Linked DNA regions of Arabidopsis thaliana. The protein of the gene in region 1 interacts with the protein of each later gene in a pairwise test. Each region holds a gene or a part of one and is shown in the gene's direction. Other genes may lie near its edges.

Region 1 (4,559 bases):
AAACATAAAAACCCAAAACCCAAAAGAAACGTTGGTACTCATCATATGCATATATACCTAACACACATTTTTTGTGTGCAGATAAATATGTCTAACTACCTCCATTAGGTATTCCAATATTTTGCTTATAGATTACTAGAAGAGTATATTTCATCTACGATAATTAAATTTATTTAAACAAAAAACGTATTAGAACGGGTATTATTAAAAAACATCGAAGTACAAGAAATAATATTAAGACTTTGTTAATTGACAACTCCTTTACTTGGTTGCTTTCTTTTTTAGTTGTATATAAATAGTATATACTAACCGATTTTTTAAAGACTATAAAAATTCGAATCTATGGACCTTAAACATATAATCCCTTAAACACGCAATCTCCATTGCTCGAGTTAGATCCTCCCATGCGTTAATATCTTTATCACTTTACCGGCAACGCCACTCCAGTCCTCTCCCAAACTTAACTTCCAGTTACAATTTAACAAATTAAATAATTTAAAATTATTACCATTACATATGCAAATCTCAAACTAAGCCAAAAAAAAAGAAGACTATATATAAAGTATTTTACATGGTTTTTAACGCTACAAATGTTTGGTCATCCTCAACAATTATCTTAAGATTCTTAACATGCAGACTAAATAACATATGTACAACAATATCGCAGAGTATTTTTACTTCAAGAAACCAAAACACAACCAGTCAACCACATCAAATCACATCAAAACTCTTTTTCTTCTCTAGAAAGTGGCATCTGTTTTTTTCATATAGACCCAAAATCCTTGTCTCATTTCTCTCTTTCCCCATTTAATACTACTCAAAAAAATAAAATTAAAACCACATCTTTATATCACCACACAAAAACTCACTTAAAACAAAAAATCATTATCGACATTTCTTTCATTCTATCTTAAATCCTCATCATCACTCAACTTGAGCTCGCCAACACAGATTTCTCCTATATATAAAACAAGTTAAAGAAACAAAATATGTATATTTTAAGGTTAATTGTATGTTGATTTGCGTTTGATAAAATAAATATTAGGGTTTAGATTTTACACTTATGCAAATTAGATGTCAATTTGGATTTATGGTTTAAGGCTTAGGGTTTAGGGTTTAGAATTTTACAATTAAACAAAATTATGTATCGATTGGGATTTATAACAACGAGGTTATGGTTAGATATTATAATTAAACAAAATTATATATTGGGTTGGGTTTATAAAAAATTAAGTCTGATTTAGATTTTACAATTAAATAGAGTTATATGTTGGTTTGGTTAGTAGATATTTTGTTTTCTTAATCTGTTTTGTTTTATGATTATAGTTTTAATTTATTTTTAAAGATAATAAGACATGGTATATTATTATATTTTAATTAGTCAATTAAAAGGATGAATAAGATTGTGAACCCAATAATTATTCATATACGACGTGTCAATAATCCACTCCTTCAACTTAGGACCTTAAACATCTAATCCCTTAAACACGTAATCCCCATTGCTCCAGTTAGATTCTCCCATGCCTTGATAATTTTATCACTTCACCGGCAACGCCACTCCACTCCTCTTCCAAACTTAATTTCCAGTTACCATCTAACGAAAATAATAATTTTAAACTAATACCATTCTGCACATCTCAAACTCAGACAAATCAAATATAAACAAGACATTTCTTTGGGCAAAATAAAAACGAGACTATAAAGTATTTTCCTTGGTTTTTAAGACTAAATAACAAGATTATTTTTGCTTCAAGAAACCAAAACACGAGCCACACTGATTACACAACCACATCAAAATTCTTTTTCTTCTCTAGAAAGTGCCATCTGTTTTCTTCCTATAGACCCAAAATCCTTGTCTCATTTCTCTCTTTTCCCATTTAATATTACTCAAATAAAAAAAATAAAAATAAAAATCAAAACCACATCTTTATATCACAATAACCCACATAAAACAAAAAAATCGTTATCGACATTTCTTTCATTCTATCTTAAATCCTCATCACTCAACTTGAGCTCGCCAACACAGGTTTCTCCTATAAATACTTGTAAATTACAAACCCAAGAAATCATTCAAAACTTCATACCTATTATATATATTGGTGAGAGTATTGAGCAAGATTCTGATTCAATTTCTGGTTAAGTTTTTCTCTCTTCAACTCTCTTTTTATTCGTAGTTTAATGATCAATTTATTATGTTTTGTGTTGTACGTATATTATTTTTATTATCATAATTTTCTTTTTCCTCATGATTTTTACAGGTAACTGTATTTTTTCTATGTAAAATTCAAATACATTATTGTTTTGAAAATAAAATAAATATTATTATCGAGAATGATGTATGTATATTAAAATTAATATAGAAATATTCGTACAAAACTATGTTTCATTATCAAGGATAATATATTTTCTTAAAACCATTCTACAAAATCTAGGAATATAATGTCGATAGATCCAATTACTTTCAAAATTGTCGCTCATTGAAATTAACAATTTATTAAGATTAACTAATAAAAATTCATTTTGCACAAAAAAAAAAGTAATAAAAATTCACTAAGACAACTAAAAAAATCACTTTTTATAAACAGAAGAAAAAACCTATATAACTACTTTGTGGATGTTAACTCCTCTAAAACTGTCCTAAATCTCTCTAACTTATCTTGATTATTTTTCCTTTCAGCAATATCATCGATGGCGTTATCCAAAGATTTGATGTTGAAATGCTCGGAAGACATGATGAGTGCTTACAAATCTGCTTGTGAAGAACACCCAAAACTAAAATCCTTTGATGCTTCCCTTCAGCAGCGAACCAACAAAATGATAGACTCACTCACCGTTGAAGACAAGAATGGTTCGTCCTCCCCACACGACGCACACATGGAGCTCTCCAAGCACCTAGTTGAAGTTACCCAAGGTGTGGCAGACTTCATTACCGAAATCGAAGACGATGTGTGGGACAACCAAGCTCTAAAGTATTTGGTCCTGGCCTATTTTGAAAATACTAAAAAGACTTTAGAGATTTTCAAAACTATAGAGAACTGCGTCGAGAACGCAGAAATGGGCCAACTTCTCATTCGAGAGGCCTTGGCCGAGTTTGAGAAAGAGTCGGCAGAAAAAGATGTTGGTGGGAAAAAGAAGAAGTATGAAAAAACATTGGAGGACCTCAAGAGTTTTAAAGAGATGGGAGATCCCTTTGACGGCAAAGTTCTCACAACTCAGTTCGAGCGGATCAAAAAGCAGCAAGAATCCCTTCTGGAGGAAGTGAGTGAGACTAGAAAAAAGATTCAGGACGAAATTAGTAATCTAGAGAAAAAAACTTTAATTACGAACGTGGTTTTCGGCGCTGCGTTTGCTATTGTTGCGGTTGCATCCATAGCTCTAATTGCAACAGGCGTGGGTGCGGCTGCCGGCTTTGGGGCTCTAGCCGCACCACTGCTTGCGGCAGGATGGGCTGGAGTCTACACTACCTTGGATAAAAAGAAGGATGCTCTGAACAAACAGTTAGAAGGTCTAAAGAAAGTGGAAGAGATAGAAGAATCGGTGGAGAAAGGTATAAAAACCAACGAAGAAGCGACGGAGACCGTATCGATTTTAGTCGACGGGCTAGAAGACCGTATCAAAAATATGTTGAAACTTGTAGATAATGCTATTGACCATGAAGATAATGAGGCGGCCACGAGAATTGTCCTAACTCAGATCAGTAAGAAAGTAGAGAAATTAACAAAGAAAATCACGGAGGTTGGTGAAAGTGTGGAAGATCATAGCAAGTTGATTGCAAAGGCCAGACTTCAAGTTCTGCAAAAGATCAACCGTTAATCTTTTGTTTAACGATGTTTGTTGTTCAAAATCCATATTTTAGTATGTTTTAATCATCCCATTGTACCTTTTTAAAATATTATATGTTTTGTAATTTCACCATCCGAGAGATTGGTTGATATGTACCTCTATCCCGTATATTCGTGAAATAAAGTTTGAAAAAAACTTGTGCTTTATTCATCTTTTCACAAATTAAATGACCAAATAAAATCACCTTTTTTTTTTCTTTCGACCAAACAAAATTACCTAAACCAAGCGTACGAAATTTAATCTTGAAATATGAAAATTTTAACGCTCGGAAGGAGAATATAAGATCAAATCAATATATACTTTTCCTTTGGGATAATCATAAAACTCATTATCCTATCTGAGATATTTGGACGAGAATTGACGTGAAAATAGATTTTTGCCATTAACGATGAAGATCCAACCAATTGGTATCGATCGAGCCCTTCTACTTATGTAGATCCAACCAATTGGAATCGTTATCCTATGCAAACCTAGTTAAAATATTGATTTCACAGAGGAGTAAGAGAGGGAAGAACCAAAGTAAGCGATCATTCTTAGACAAGAATGATATAAAACTTTTATATTACTGAAACTTGTTATCTACATCACCTAGCTACTTGTGCCTCTTGAAAAATAAACCCGATTGTGTCGTTTTGTTTTGTTTGCATGCAAGTAATTAAGTACAAACGAGTGAGTGAGAGAGAGTGAGCACAGATACATGTCTCTAAAGGTTTCAA
Region 2 (7,291 bases), on another chromosome or scaffold:
TATTTTTGTTTGTTTGTAATACAGGAGAACGCTGATTAGAAGTCCATATTAATCTACTTGACATGTATAGGTAGAATTATTCAGAACCAAGAAGACATGCATGCTATGTCTATATGTATATGGCGGATATGGAAATTTATTTGATAAAATGAATTAATGTTTATAAAAAGCATATCATAAAAATAAAATAACACATCCTATAATGGTTTTAATAACAGGTAGAAGAACTTCCCGAACGTGTTTTAACCCATTGATATGTAGGTTGAATTATTCAGAAATGAGAAGACATGCATGCTCCAAAATTATGTACAATCATTTCACGGATAAAAGCAAAATAGTTGATAATATATATATTTTGTTTGAAAAAGGGTTATAATTGAGACGATATATTTACGTGTTCTCTGATTCATATACTACTGTCTAGTGATATATAAACTTTTATATATTTATAACATAATACTAATCTCAAAAAAAAAAAAAATATTAGTAATCGATATATATCACATGTTGCACGTTGAGACAACATATATCTTTCTACTAGTACTGAACTTATATTTGTCCGCTCTGGACTACGACGTCACACGGGAGCCATGCATTTAACTATTCCATCAAGGGACCATCAAACCTAGAGACACTATTGGATAATTTATTGTTTGAAGAAAAAAAAATTATTGCGTAGTTTAAATTATTCACTTATTAATAGTTAATAGAAATTGAAAAGCGATATTACAACAATAATATTCTTTACTTTGGATAGAGTCGTATAGAGAATTAAAAATATATATTCCAATTATTAAATATAAAGTTAATTATAGAAAGATTGCATTTGGGTACATGTAATGCGAACTTATGAGTTCTTCAAATTTAAAGGCACTAATTCACTTTTTCAAAAGCCAAGAAGTAATTATTTTATTTGGAGTTTTAAAGTTGTTTCAGGGTTTTATCATTTTGAACAGTGAAAAAGTCCCTATTTCTATAATTATAGCCTTTGAAAAATGCCTACTTTCACACGAATTTTATGAAAAGTTTGTAAAATCCCTTAAATGTGATTATATATACTGAAAAAAGAGGTTCTAAAATCTTCTTAAGGTTTCAAGTTTTATTTCTGGTTCAACATATAGAAGAGACATTAATAATAATGACCCTAGCTAGCATTCTCCACAAAATTAAGTATGGAGGATGAGTCTGTCCATGGATTGATATCCAAATTCATGACTAGACAGAATTAACGCAAAAAATCGAAATTCCACAATATTGACAAAATGAAATATAAAGTCATTAATTTTTTTAGAGTTGTGAGTTTGTTTTTTTACGTAATAATAGTTTTAAAAAATTTAATTTACATAATAGAAAACTAATAAAAGTATTTTTACTATGTCAAAAAATATAAGAAAACAAACCAACGTAACACATAAAAAAATGAGATGTTCAAAAACGAATTTGTACGAGCTTGACCACTTAACTATTGAGCAATCTGATTTGGGAATGGAAGGCATAACCAAAAAAAAAAGAGATGTGTTTTTAAAAAAATTGACTTTATTAAAATAAATATTTCTATCTTAGTTATTCCATCAATAGTTTTTTTTTTGTTTTTTTTCCTATTTCCATGATATTATTATTTTCAATAAAATTATAAAATGTCACATTTACTAATATTAATTATATTATTTCACATCTAGCTGTTTAACTTTTGCTACACACAAAATGAGTTATCTAGAAGAAGAGCCACGAGATAAAAGAATGAAATCCACGTTTAAGTTAGTTACAACGGTTTTATTTTATAAGCGTATCCATAGCTATGTGATGCTTCTTCAAGCTTAAAGATTTTGTGTATCCTCGTTCTTGTAATGGAAATCTACACCATGAAAACGAATTTTCTTGTACTGGCTTTGTCTTTGTGTATCCTTCTTTCAAGCTTCCATGAGGTTTCTTGTCAGGTAGAAAAAAACATGTCTTTTAATTATTTTTCTTTCAACCTTAAAAATAATTTTCAACGCATCTTGTATCTTTTTAGGATGATGGTAGTGGTTTGAGTAATTTGGATCTAATAGAACGTGATTATCAAGGTAAGGACATTCTCAGAAATACCGACACTTATCCAAGGTTTTCTTTCTTTTTATTTGTTTTCTTGGATTGATTTTAGGTTCTCTTTTTTTCTTTCTAGATAGTGTCAATGCTCTTCAAGGCAAGGACGATGAAGATCAGTGTAAGATCTCTCTCTCTATATCTCTTTCTTGATTCTATTTTTGTTATGTTTGTGACAGCTTCTATGTTTCTGTGTGTCTTCAGCTGCAAAGATACAGAGTGAAAACCAGAATAACACTACAGTGACTGATAAGAACACTATTTCTCTATCTCTATCAGATGAATCTGAGGTTAGGGTTTAGCTTTTGTTGCGTTGCTCTTTAAGTTTAGATTTGGATTCTAATTAATGAAAGTAATAAAGAGATTCCTGCAAAGTAGTTTTTTGTAAACTTAATTAAGGTGAATTTTTGTCTTTGCTGTGTGTGTTTAGGTTGGATCTGTTAGTGATGAAAGCGTTGGACGTTCGAGTCTGTTGGATCAAATCAAACTTGAATTCGAAGGTATCTCAAGATCTTGATCTTAGTGATTGTGTTTATGGTGTGAAACATGAAAGGCCCTTATTTATTTTACTATATAGTTAATCAGAAATTGATGTTTAGTAAAGTTTTTGTATATAATTGTGTATCATGATTAATTGCAGCTCATCACAATAGTATTAACCAAGCTGGATCTGATGGTGTCAAGGCTGAATCCAAGGATGATGATGAAGAATTATGTAAGATTTTCTTCTATGAAATTCTTTGTTTCTTCAATAGTTCTTTCTTTTGCTGATGTAGTTGTTATTGTGTCTTGTTTCAGCTGCTCATAGACAGAAAATGTTGGAAGAAATCGAACATGAGTTTGAAGGTTGTCTCATAGATTATACATCTAGCTAGCTTATAGTTAGTTCACTTATAAAAAAAAGTTTGTTAATCTGACTTCTTTTGCTTCTCCTACTTGTTGCAGCTGCTTCAGATAGTCTGAAACAACTAAAGACTGATGATGTAAACGAAGGAAATGATGAAGAACATTGTAAAAGACTCCTTCTCTTGACTCCATTTTGTCCTTGCCATAATATGATACACTGAAACAGGTTTTGTATCACTTGTTACACTTACAGCTGCAAAGAGGCAAAGTTTGTTGGAAGAGATCGAACGTGAGTTTGAAGGTATATTCTCAACATACATGTCTTAGATAGCTCCTCTGTTTTGAGATAAAATCTTGAATCTAATAGTTAGCTTTTTCTTCTGTTTCATCTCATACCTTAGCTGCTACAAAAGAACTTGAACAACTAAAGGTTAATGACTTCACCGGGGACAAAGATGACGAAGAACACTGTAATAAACCTCTTCAATTTCAGATTTATCTGTTCCCTTTGTCTCTATTTGAGTATTTTGTGACTGATTATGTGTCTTTGTTACAGCTGCAAAGAGAAAAAGTATGCTTGAAGCTATTGAACGCGAGTTTGAAGGTATCTTGAGACACCAGTATGTTTCAATATGTTCTAAGAAGAATGCAGAAACCATTATAAATCAATCTGAGTATCATCTAAGAGTTTGTTTGTGTGATTTTCTATTTCAATCTCCTACTTGCAGCTGCTATGGAAGGCATTGAAGCACTTAAGGTTTCTGATTCCACAGGAAGCGGAGATGATGAAGAACAATGTAAAGTCACATATAGTCCTTTTTGGTTTTCTCTTATCCATTTCCACTGAAGCTGCTATCTTGTTACAGCTGCAAAGAGACTAAGTATGCTTGAAGAGATCGAACGGGAATTTGAAGGTACTTTGTATATATACCACAAACTGTCTTAATCATATGATTCGTAAAGAAAATTGTGTGTTACTTAATAATATGTTTCTGTGTTCTGTTTCTCATAGCTGCTTCAAAAGGTCTTGAACAACTAAGGGCTAGCGATTCAACCGCGGACAATAACGAAGAAGAACACGGTATGAAACGTTTGCGGTTTGTCCCATCTTCTTTATCTAATTCCTTTTCCTGCATACAGTTTTCTGAATCAGATTGAATATACTGTCATAAAAACAGCTGCAAAGGGACAAAGTTTGTTAGAAGAGATCGAACGAGAGTTCGAAGGTATCTCCTACATAACATTTACTAAGAGTCTTAATTAGTTCACATCCCAACCCTGAGTAATATCTGAGAGTCTTATATCTACATTTATCACTTGCAGCTGCTACAGAGAGCCTTAAGCAACTTCAAGTTGATGATTCTACTGAAGACAAAGAACACTGTAAAGCACTCTTCTTCTTATTATCTGCTATTCTTTCTCTATGGTTATCTGAATCAGGCTTTGAATGTATTGTAGTTACAGCTGCAAAGAGGCAAAGTCTGCTGGAAGAGATTGAACGTGAATTTGAAGGTTATCTTTAATATCAAATATAGAAAACTAAACATGGAGAATAGTGTTTTTAAGAATGTGTTTATTGTCTTCTATTTGCAGCTGCAACAAAAGATCTTAAACAACTAAATGATTTCACTGAAGGCAGTGCTGATGATGAACAATGTAAATATCTTTCTTTTTCTGCGGGTTTTCGACTCTTTTTCTTCCTTACAGTATTCTGAGCCTATTCTTCTTGTATCTTGATCTTTATTACAGCTGCAAAGAGAAACAAAATGTTGGAAGATATCGAACGCGAATTTGAAGGTAATCTATCCTCACATACCATTTATCTCACACTCTTTTTTAGATCCTAATTTTCTGTAATTTTATAATTTTGTAGCTGCTACAATAGGTCTTGAACAACTAAAGGCTAATGATTTCTCTGAAGGCAATAATAATGAAGAACAATGTAAGAAACAACAAAAACTCTTCTTGATTCACTTTCTTCACCACAGTATTCTGAGACAGAGTTAGTTATCTCTTGTTATATAGCTGCAAAGAGAAAGAGTATGCTTGAAGAGATCGAACGCGAGTTCGAAGGTATGTCAACATATAAGTATCTGTCTCATCAGCTCATATTCTTCAGAGGAAATCTTGAACCTGTTTTCATCTTCTACTTGCAGCTGCTATTGGAGGTCTTAAACAGATCAAAGTTGATGATTCCAGAAATCTTGAAGAAGAATGTAAACTCTCTGATCCATTTTTTCTCTTTAAAACCTTCTCATACAAAATTTGTAACTGTTTTGGTTATAATTTTTTGTTTCAGCTGCTAAGAGAAAGATAATTTTGGAAGAGATGGAACGTGAATTTGAAGGTACTCCAAGATTCTATTACTGATCTCTTCTAAGTTCTAAGTAAAGAAAGTATAGATTGACAGTTTCTGATTCCAACCTTCTTGTTCTGCAGAAGCACACAGTGGTATTAATGCAAAGGCTGACAAAGAAGAATGTAAGAAACAACCAAAAGTCTTTAACTTTTTTGCTTCACTCACTGTCTCAAAATATTTTTCTAAGACAATTCTTGTTCTCACAGCTGCAAAGAAACAGAGTGGCTCTGCTATACCAGAGGTTCTTGGACTAGGACAGTCAGGTGGTTGTAGCTGTTCTAAACAAGACGAAGATTCCTCGATTGTTATACCAACAAAATATAGCATAGAAGATATCCTCTCTGAAGAATCTGCAGTCCAGGTTTTTGTTTTAAACCTTTTCTTGAACAGCAAGAAAGTGATCAGAATCACAATCTCTAAAGTCTAATTCCTATGTTTTCATGATTTTTCAGGGAACAGAGACTTCTAGTCTCACCGCGTCTTTGACTCAACTCGTTGAGAATCACAGGAAAGAAAAGGAATCTCTACTCGGACACAGAGTTCTCACTTCTCCTTCTATAGCTTCTTCCACAAGCGAATCATCTGCTACATCAGAGACTGTAGAAACCCTAAGGGCTAAACTGAATGAGCTTCGCGGCTTAACCGCTCGTGAGCTTGTGACACGTAAAGATTTCGGTCAGATTCTCATTACGGCTGCGAGTTTTGAAGAGCTAAGTTCAGCTCCAATCAGTTACATTTCTAGGTTAGCTAAATACAGAAACGTCATCAAAGAAGGACTTGAAGCTTCTGAGAGAGTTCACATCGCGCAGGTACGAGCAAAAATGCTCAAAGAAGTTGCCACGGAGAAGCAAACCGCCGTGGACACTCATTTCGCAACCGCTAAAAAGCTTGCTCAAGAAGGAGACGCGTTGTTCGTTAAAATCTTCGCAATCAAGAAACTGTTGGCGAAACTTGAAGCAGAGAAAGAATCTGTTGATGGAAAGTTTAAGGAGACTGTGAAAGAACTTTCTCATCTTCTGGCTGATGCTTCTGAGGCTTACGAAGAGTATCATGGCGCGGTGAGGAAGGCGAAAGACGAGCAAGCGGCTGAGGAATTTGCGAAAGAGGCGACGCAAAGTGCAGAGATCATTTGGGTTAAGTTTCTTAGTTCTCTTTAGAGAACAATTGAGATTCTTGGTTGTGTTAAGAGCAAATCTAGAGCTCTTGTTGGTTCTTGTTATGTATTTTGTGATGATGTTCTGTTTCAGAGTTTGTGTGTTGGTTGTATCAGGAGAAAGAGGCTGGGAGATAGAGAGAAAGAGAGTCTCTGCGAAAACTAATAATGTTTTTTCAGATATCTAAATAATAAGCTTTTTGCATACATTGTATTGTAAATTTGTAACATTCTTCTCCTCTCTTCCAATGATTTTTTTTTCTTGTTGACTATTCTTACTAAATAACGATGAGGTAAAATATAGGTAAATGATTATCATTTTTTTTTTACTTGCTATATCATTTCAACTGGGAGAGGTTAAAAATACAAAAATAGCTTTAAGCCTTTAATAACAATATTGGCAAAGTATTTTACTATGAGATAGAAAAATGGTTTTTGGTGTCCACTATAAAAACAACTAGAATGATCGGTCAATTTGAATTTACAAGGAACATTGAAGTTCTCACTTCTAATCTATTCTGATTTACTCTGAAATTTTAGTTATAGTTTGACCTACTAATTAAAATACTCTAAACTAAAACGTACTAGTGTTTTTTTTTTTTAAACGTACTAGTTGAATCCGAGAAACGCTCAACTCACCGTTTTTTTTTTGTTTTAAATAATTCACACGCGGCCGAATGCATTAAAATCTCGCATGCGTTTATTAAGTTGAATTTTCTGTTAAAAGTATATAAGATAGTGTTACGATTACGTTTATTAGGTAGAGAGATATAGTAAGACCAAACAAATAAAACAAAAAATTTGCTACATGGTTAGGATGATGATGAAAGTAGCGTTTGCAATGACGT
Region 3 (7,222 bases), 5.1 Mb from region 1:
GTACGTGAAAATATTTGCGATCAAGAAACTGATTTCGAAACTTGAGGCCGAGAAGTATGAGGTTGATATGACTTTCGAAAAGACAGTTGCGAATCTATCACGCGTTATAGAGGAGGCTTCTCAAGCTTACGAGGAGTATCATGTGGTCGTGCGTAAGTGGAAAGAGGAACAAGCATCTGAGGAATTCTCGCGTGAGGCCATTGAGAGGGTAGAGATGGTTTGGGTTGAGTTTCTCAGCACTCTCTAGAGACAAGTCTTTTGTTTTCTTCTCTTTTAATTACATGCTTTCTCTCTTGTTTATGTCTTATTCCTTGTCATTTCCCTTTCTAATATAAAGCTTTTATGTGAGCGCCTTGTCAAATTGCTCTTTACTTTAATGATATCAGCAGATTATATAAATACTTCGTAAAGAATAATAATTAATTTACCAATTACCATTAAAAAAAAATTATTTGGGGTCGAAAGACATGACTCAGCTTTCATTATGTGGCCCAAAGCAGTAATGAAATATGACACTAGACATTATTTCTATTTATAACAGAACTATAAGTTTTTTTGTGTAGTTATTTTTCTTACTTCAAATCAGTTTTGTTTTATTAATAGTATCCCTCTATGTAGCACGTTTTAGGAATAGATCGAAGAGCAACGAAATGGATGATACATGGGCAGCTAGGTCGCGTTACTTCCGGATAAACAATGTCAATGTGTCCCCTCTCAATATTATATTCTCTAATCGGATCGGATCGAATCGAATCGAATCTGACTCGTCTATCGTCAAGCTGTCGTCTACTAATTATCTATAGAGACGTTAAAATATCAATATTTAGAGAGAGACTTCAGGTTTATTATTTTACAAGATTTTTTCATATTTTTAGTATTAGGAAAAAGTGGATTGGTTAAAAAGTAAACTAGAAAATTAAGTCAAGCTAAAAGGTTTGATATTGAATTTACTGCCGAACGAAAATTTAATTATAGCCGATCATTGAGTTTTAGGGTCGTGACACATGTGGTTGTCAGTTCTGTACAAGTACAATCATATATATGTATTTAATTTTCTCATGTAGCACGCTAATATTATCTTATAGTATAAATAAATACCAAGTCTAACAGATACGATTTGGTAGTAGTGTAGTGAACATCGCATTATTTATTTATATCAGCAAAGTAGTTCACAATACGTGGACTATGGCCTATGAGGATAATTAATTATACTCTAATGATTATACTTCTATTTCATAATATTGTAGTAAGTTAAACTGATTAATAGTTGGATTTACCAGCATTAGTGGATTCCATTATAGATATATTTCAATAATAAACTTTTCGTTTTTTCACTTTTTTAAAAATATCATTTTTCTTAGTCTTTCTTTTGGCAAGATTAAGAGTGGGATAATCATAATTTATAGGCGTTTCACATACACAGAAACTAATGAAGACAAGAATAAAATTAAAAATAGCGTTGAATTCTTTGTAATTAGGAACGTGGAATATATATAAAAATAAAAGCCACGTGAATTCTATTATTAAATTAAAAAGCCACGTTGAGTTATTTTACTTTGGTTTTATTTAAAGTCTTGTTTTTCCTCAAGCTTCACAACACAGTGTATTTTGATCTTTGTGATAACAATCTTCCACCATGGGAACAAAGTTTTTAGCTCTGGGTTTGTCTCTGTGTCTTGTTCTCTCAAGCTTCTATCAAGTTTCTTGCCAGGTAGTACACAAAAATACAATTGCTTTACCAATATATATTTTACGATAAAGAAATGATCAACTGATATTCAAACGCATTTGACTTTTGGTTTTAGGATGAAGGAACTGGAAGTTTGAGTACTTTAGATCTAATTGAGCATGAATATCAAAGTAAGGCTTACGATATATTTGTCTGAATAATCTTTTAGATGAAACACAATTCTCTTAAAATTATCATTTGGTTGCAGCTAGTGTCAATTCTCTCCAAGGCAATGAAGCAGTAGATCAAAGTAAGACCTTTCTCTCTGTCTCTCTTTCTTGTTTCTTTTCTTCTTCTGCAATTTGTTATTTGATATAGTCACTGTGTTGTGTGTGTGGAATCAGCTGAGACCAGTGGTCAGAAAAACAGTACAGTGTCTGATAACAACACTATTTCTTTGTCTCTATCTGAAGAACCTGCATTGGAAACTCTTAAAGAATCTGTTGATACATCAGCTGAGGTTAATTCCTGTCTATGAATTAACTTTTGGGATTGGATTTTGGTTTAGGATGACTATGTTTTAAAGACTCCTGAAATTTAATATCTGGTTTCTTCTACTTTGGATCTATATAGTTAGGAGCTGTTACTGATGAAGTCGATAAACCTTCAAGTATGTTGGACCATATTGAACTTGAGTTCGAAGGTAAGTCGAGACCTTTACTCTGTATTTGCACTGTTTTCTTAAAAGTCTCATAATTATGTCTATGGAAGAGGCTTGGATCAAAATATTGACATGAAGAGTTTGTTTGTGTGTTCTTGATTATAGCACATATCAATGAACTTAAAGAAGCTGGATCTGATGGTATCAACAAAGTTGAGGAATCTAAAGATGATGAAGAAGGTTAAAAAGAAAAGAAAAGAACACGTCTCTTTGATCAGATACCTTTGTGCTAAGAGATTTCTCTTATACTTTCTTTGTTGTTTTAGCTGCAAGGAGACATAAAATGTTGGAAGCCATTGAACGTGAATTTGAAGGTACCTATCAATGTTTCTGTCTAGCTTGAAGTTTATATTTTTGAAACCATTGTTTTGGTAGAGTCTTACTTACAGAGATTTACTTGCAGCTGCTCATGCTGGATTTGAACAACTAAAGACTGATGATTCCGCCCAAGGATTAGATGATGAACAATGTAACTAAACACTCTTTGTCTAGTACTAGTTACGATCACATTTTGGTTCTTCTTCAACATTCTAAGTCCAATTTCTCTGTTCTTTTTGTTACAGCTGCAAAGAGACAAAGCATGTTGGACGAGATTGAACGTGATTTTGAAGGTCTCTCTACAAAATCTTTATTCTTGTTTACTTAAGTTCTTGAACCTGAAAAGTTGAAGTAACAATTGGGTTGTGTCTTCTGTTCCATTTCCACTTGCAGCTGCTACAAAAGGTCTTGAGCAACTAAAGGCTGATGATTTAACTGGAATCAACGATGAAGAACACGGTAAAGAAACCTCTATGTTTCACGTTGTTTGATGCCTTTGTCTGTATTACAGTATTCTTGAGTCGGATTTTGTTATCTTGTTGTAGCTGCAAAGAGACAAAAGATGCTTGAAGAGATCGAAAGAGAGTTTGAAGGTATCTTGAAACGTATAAGTATAACCAATAAGTCTTTAATGAAATATCTTCTTGAGAACCATCTTAGACTCTGTAATTCCTCTGTTTGCAGAAGCTACAAAAGGTCTTGAAGAACTAAGGCATTCTACCTCAAGCACAGATGATGAAGCACAATGTAATCTTTTGTTTCCCTCTATTTAAATGATCTTTTAGTCTCAGATACACTACTCAGAACACAAATCTAATGTCTTGTTATTGTTATAGCTGCAAAGAGACAGAATATGCTAGATGAGATCGAACGGGAGTTTGAAGGTATTTTGACACACTCAATATCTGTCTTAATTGATTCACAATATTTGTGTTGAGACTTATTGGATTTATGATTATGTTTCATCTTTGTACTTGCAGCTGCTACAAGTGGTCTTAAAGAGCTAAAGATTAATGCTCACACTGTCAAAGATGATGTTGATGATAAAGAACAAGGTAAGAAACTGTTATCTCTACTTTGATAACTTATGTCCCTCATTTAGTTTTCTGAGATAGCTAGATGTTATGCTTTATTTACAGATGCCAAAAGACAAAGTATGCTAGATGCAATTGAACGTGAGTTTGAAGGTAAATCGACATACCAATCATCATATGCAGAGAGAATCTTTAACTCTTTATTGTTCAAAGAAGTTCTAAGAGTTTTTTTTTTCTCTCTTGCAGCCGTTACCGAGAGTTTTAAACAACTTGAAGATATCGCCGATAACAAAGCTGAAGGAGACGACGAATGTAAGAAAAATCTTTCCACTCAACATTTTTTGGTTCATTTACCTTTATTGTAGTGTTATTCTGAGAGAGGTTTTTATGTCTTTTTAATCAGCTGCAAAGAGGCAAAGTATGTTGGATGAGATTGAACGTGAATTTGAAGGTACTTATTATTGATGTTAATTAGTTCTTATGGTTCCCATATAAAATCTTGAATTATTTCCTCTGTTTATCAAACTACTTTGCAGCTGCTACAAATAGTCTTAAGCAACTAAACCTTGACGATTTCAGTGAAGGAGATGACAGTGCAGAATGTAATAACTTGTCCTCTCTACTTTCTCTGATCATATTTGCATCTTCTATAGTATTTTGAAGATTTTTTTGTATGTTTTGATACAGCTGCAAGGAGAAATAGTATGCTTGAAGCTATCGAACGCGAGTTTGAAGGTCATTTTCACATAACATTGAACTTCCTAGCTGAAATGTAAATCCATTCTAAAAGGTCAAGTACTTAAGTTTCTTCTCTTTTATTTTCTTACTCGCAGCTGCTACAAAAGGTCTTGAAGAGCTAAAGGCTAATGATTCAACCGGCGACAAGGATGATGATGAACACGGTAACTATTCTTCCCCATATTCCTCTATTTTGTATATATTGTTCTGTTGTATCCTGAGCCAGCTCTGTTTCCATGTTTTGTTACAGTTGCAAGGAGAAAAATTATGCTTGAAGCTATTGAACGCGAGTTTGAAGGTACTTTAACATATATTCTTGAGCCATTGTTGGTGACCAAGCCTTGATAACTAGATGAATCGGAATCATATAAAAGTGATCAAAGTAATCTGAGTTTCTTATTTCTTGTTTCAGCCGCGACAAAAGGCCTTGAAGAGTTAAAGAATGAATCAGAACAAGGTAAATAATCTGATCCTTTTGCTCCTCTCAAATCCATCTGAGACAAGTTTTTAAGACGATGTTTATTTTTTGTTAACAGCTGAAAACAAGAGAAACAGTATGTTGGAAGCATTCGAACGCGAATTTGAAGGTAACCTTAAGAACCAAACGCATGAATTCATATAGAAACAAGGATAGTATATAATATGACAGTTTGGTTTCATCTTCTTGTTCATTTTTCTAATTTGCAGCTGCTACAAATGCAAAGGCTAATGGAGAAAACTGTAAGAAAGCTTGTTGATATTTTTCCTTATGTCATTTTCTATCTTTTAAGTTTTTGTCTGAGATGTTTTGTCACAACAGCTGCAAAGAATCCATCAACCATAAGTACTACAGTGCAGAAATCTTCTGGCGGATACAATGGTAATATAATCTTCAGATTCTCACAAACAAATATTTTCCCAAAAAGAAACAAGATCTCAATGTTTATATGTTCTTTATTTTTCAGCTGGTTTAGAAGGTCTTCTAAAGCCTGCAGGTTAGCTTTAAAGCTTATTCATTCTTGTGAATGTTTTTAACCGAAGAAAGTCACAAGAGTGCTAATCTTAATTGTCTTCTCTCTGTTATTGTTTCTTGCAGATGGTGTATGTGGTTGTTTCAACAAGGATAAAGATGGTCTTCAGGCAGACACTGATTCTTCGATTAACATAGCGGAGATACTCGCAGAAGAATCCAAATTACAGGTTTGTTTTATAGATCTTTCTTGAATAGACAATGGAAGGCTCTCACATCTAAACCAATCTCATTTTTGTTTATATCTTTTGCTTTTGACTTTGGTAGGGCTCAGGGACCTCTCGGCTCACCACATCATTGAACAATCTTGTTGATACTCATAGAAAAGAAACGTCCTCAAAGGTAGGCTCAGTCCTTGGCTCATCTTCATCAGTTACTTCTACCACAAGCGAATCAGCGGCTACATCAGAGAGCATAGAGAGCTTAAAGCAAACACTAAGGAAGCTACGCGGTCTAAGCGCACGTGATCTCGTAAACCACCCGAATTTCGATGCGATTATAGCAGCCGGTACACGTTACGAGGTACTCAGCTCAGCTTCTATTGGTTACATCTCTTTGCTAGCCAAATACAAAACCGTCATTAAAGAAGGACTCGAGGCTTCTCAGAGAGTCCAGATTGCTCAAACCCGAGCCAAACTGCTAAAAGAAACCGCAATGGAGAAGCAGAGAACCGTAGACTCGGTTTTCGCAGCAGCAAAGACCACTGCTCAAAGAGGAGACGCGTTGCACATCAGAATCGTAGCGATCAAGAAACTGTTGGCAAAGCTAGAAGCAGAGAAAGTGGACGTTGATTCAAAGTTCACCTCTTTAACGACGAGTCTGTCAGAGCTTCTCAAGGAGGCGTCACAGGCTTACGAAGAGTATCACGAGGCGGTGCATAAGGCAAAGGACGAGCAAGCGGCTGAGGAATTTGCGGTGGAGACGACAAAGAGAGCAGAACATATTTGGGTTGAGTTTCTTAGTTCACTTAATTGAACTAATGAGATTCTTGATTGTGGTTAAAGCACATGTTCAATTAGTTGTGGTTCTTGTGTTTTATTTTCTTGTGTTGTTTTGTTTGAGACTTTGTTTGTTGCTTATATCAGGGGAGAGAGGTTGAAAAACCTTTGAGAGAGATAGATAAATGAGAGATTTGTGAAACACAAATAATGTTTTAGTCGTCTTATAATAAAACCTTTTTTTTTCTTATATATGCTCATTGATAATACTGCAAAAAGGTAAAATCATGTTTTTTTTTTTTTAATATGAATCATGATATTCAGGCATGTTTTTTCCAAGATTGACAATTATATAGGCCAGAACTAGCAAGAAATAAGAGTTAAAGTGCTAAAATCAGAAATCGAGTGTCTTTATTTCTTGCAATTGCAGTTTATTAGTAAATAAATCACATAAAACAGAGATTAGTTCATCTAACATTTTCCTGATAAATTGACAAAAAAAGGACGTTGTAACTACTTCAATATTTATTTTTTGTCGGCTACTAATTTTATTTTTAAAATTCAACAAATTTAAGTAATATTACATTTGACTTGAGTGAGGAAAATGTTCTATAATGTTGTCATTTTTTTATAAATCAAATTTAAATTATATCATGAGTTAATATTTTAAAGATGTCCTAGAAAAATTCACACGTAAAAATAAAGAAAAGAGATTATCCCACACGAGTCGCTAACACGTGTGACCCAAATCATACTCGGAAAAAGCAAAACGATCATTATTTGAAATTAATAATG

The links. Proteins that work in one complex are often made in the same cells at the same time.
Region 2: the proteins of AT3G28270 (region 1) and TSA1 interact in a two-hybrid assay, tested with the Arabidopsis thaliana proteins (one study listed by BioGRID).
Region 3: the proteins of AT3G28270 (region 1) and NAI2 interact in a two-hybrid assay, tested with the Arabidopsis thaliana proteins (one study listed by BioGRID).

What each region holds. Positions count from the first base shown.
Region 1 is NC_003074.8:10,536,037-10,540,595, forward strand, and holds AT3G28270 (transmembrane protein, putative (DUF677)), read left to right. Parts: upstream 1-1,968; 5' UTR 1,969-2,135; exon of another isoform or gene 2,136-2,677; 5' UTR 2,678-2,688; coding exon 2,689-3,813; 3' UTR 3,814-4,034; downstream 4,035-4,559.
Region 2 is NC_003070.9:19,518,915-19,526,205, forward strand, and holds TSA1 (TSK-associating protein 1), read left to right. Parts: upstream 1-1,688; 5' UTR 1,689-1,847; coding exon 1,848-1,937; intron 1,938-2,014; coding exon 2,015-2,066; intron 2,067-2,164; coding exon 2,165-2,206; intron 2,207-2,289; coding exon 2,290-2,375; intron 2,376-2,515; coding exon 2,516-2,585; intron 2,586-2,725; coding exon 2,726-2,800; intron 2,801-2,883; coding exon 2,884-2,931; intron 2,932-3,030; coding exon 3,031-3,096; intron 3,097-3,184; coding exon 3,185-3,232; intron 3,233-3,332; coding exon 3,333-3,401; intron 3,402-3,487; coding exon 3,488-3,535; intron 3,536-3,659; coding exon 3,660-3,728; intron 3,729-3,797; coding exon 3,798-3,845; intron 3,846-3,943; coding exon 3,944-4,012; intron 4,013-4,109; coding exon 4,110-4,157; intron 4,158-4,254; coding exon 4,255-4,314; intron 4,315-4,389; coding exon 4,390-4,443; intron 4,444-4,524; coding exon 4,525-4,587; intron 4,588-4,680; coding exon 4,681-4,728; intron 4,729-4,804; and 15 more. Other genes in the region: AT1G52415 (Bifunctional inhibitor/lipid-transfer protein/seed storage 2S albumin superfamily protein), read left to right, coding at 7,252-7,291. UniProt on the Arabidopsis thaliana protein: Involved in seedling development in the dark. May be involved, when interacting with TSK, in the organization of spindle microtubules and may participate, when interacting with GIP1, in structural links between the nuclear envelope and the cytoskeleton.
Region 3 is NC_003074.8:5,397,025-5,404,246, reverse strand, and holds NAI2 (DNA topoisomerase-like protein), read left to right. Parts: upstream 1-1,594; 5' UTR 1,595-1,636; coding exon 1,637-1,711; intron 1,712-1,805; coding exon 1,806-1,860; intron 1,861-1,937; coding exon 1,938-1,979; intron 1,980-2,073; coding exon 2,074-2,189; intron 2,190-2,302; coding exon 2,303-2,372; intron 2,373-2,495; coding exon 2,496-2,570; intron 2,571-2,656; coding exon 2,657-2,704; intron 2,705-2,793; coding exon 2,794-2,859; intron 2,860-2,953; coding exon 2,954-3,001; intron 3,002-3,101; coding exon 3,102-3,167; intron 3,168-3,253; coding exon 3,254-3,301; intron 3,302-3,392; coding exon 3,393-3,455; intron 3,456-3,544; coding exon 3,545-3,592; intron 3,593-3,688; coding exon 3,689-3,763; intron 3,764-3,847; coding exon 3,848-3,895; intron 3,896-3,988; coding exon 3,989-4,054; intron 4,055-4,145; coding exon 4,146-4,193; intron 4,194-4,278; coding exon 4,279-4,344; intron 4,345-4,429; coding exon 4,430-4,477; intron 4,478-4,575; and 19 more. Other genes in the region: AT3G15960 (mismatched DNA binding / ATP binding protein), read left to right, coding at 1-247. UniProt on the Arabidopsis thaliana protein: Responsible for the ER body formation. Regulates the number and shape of the ER bodies and the accumulation of PYK10 in ER bodies, but is not involved in the expression of PYK10.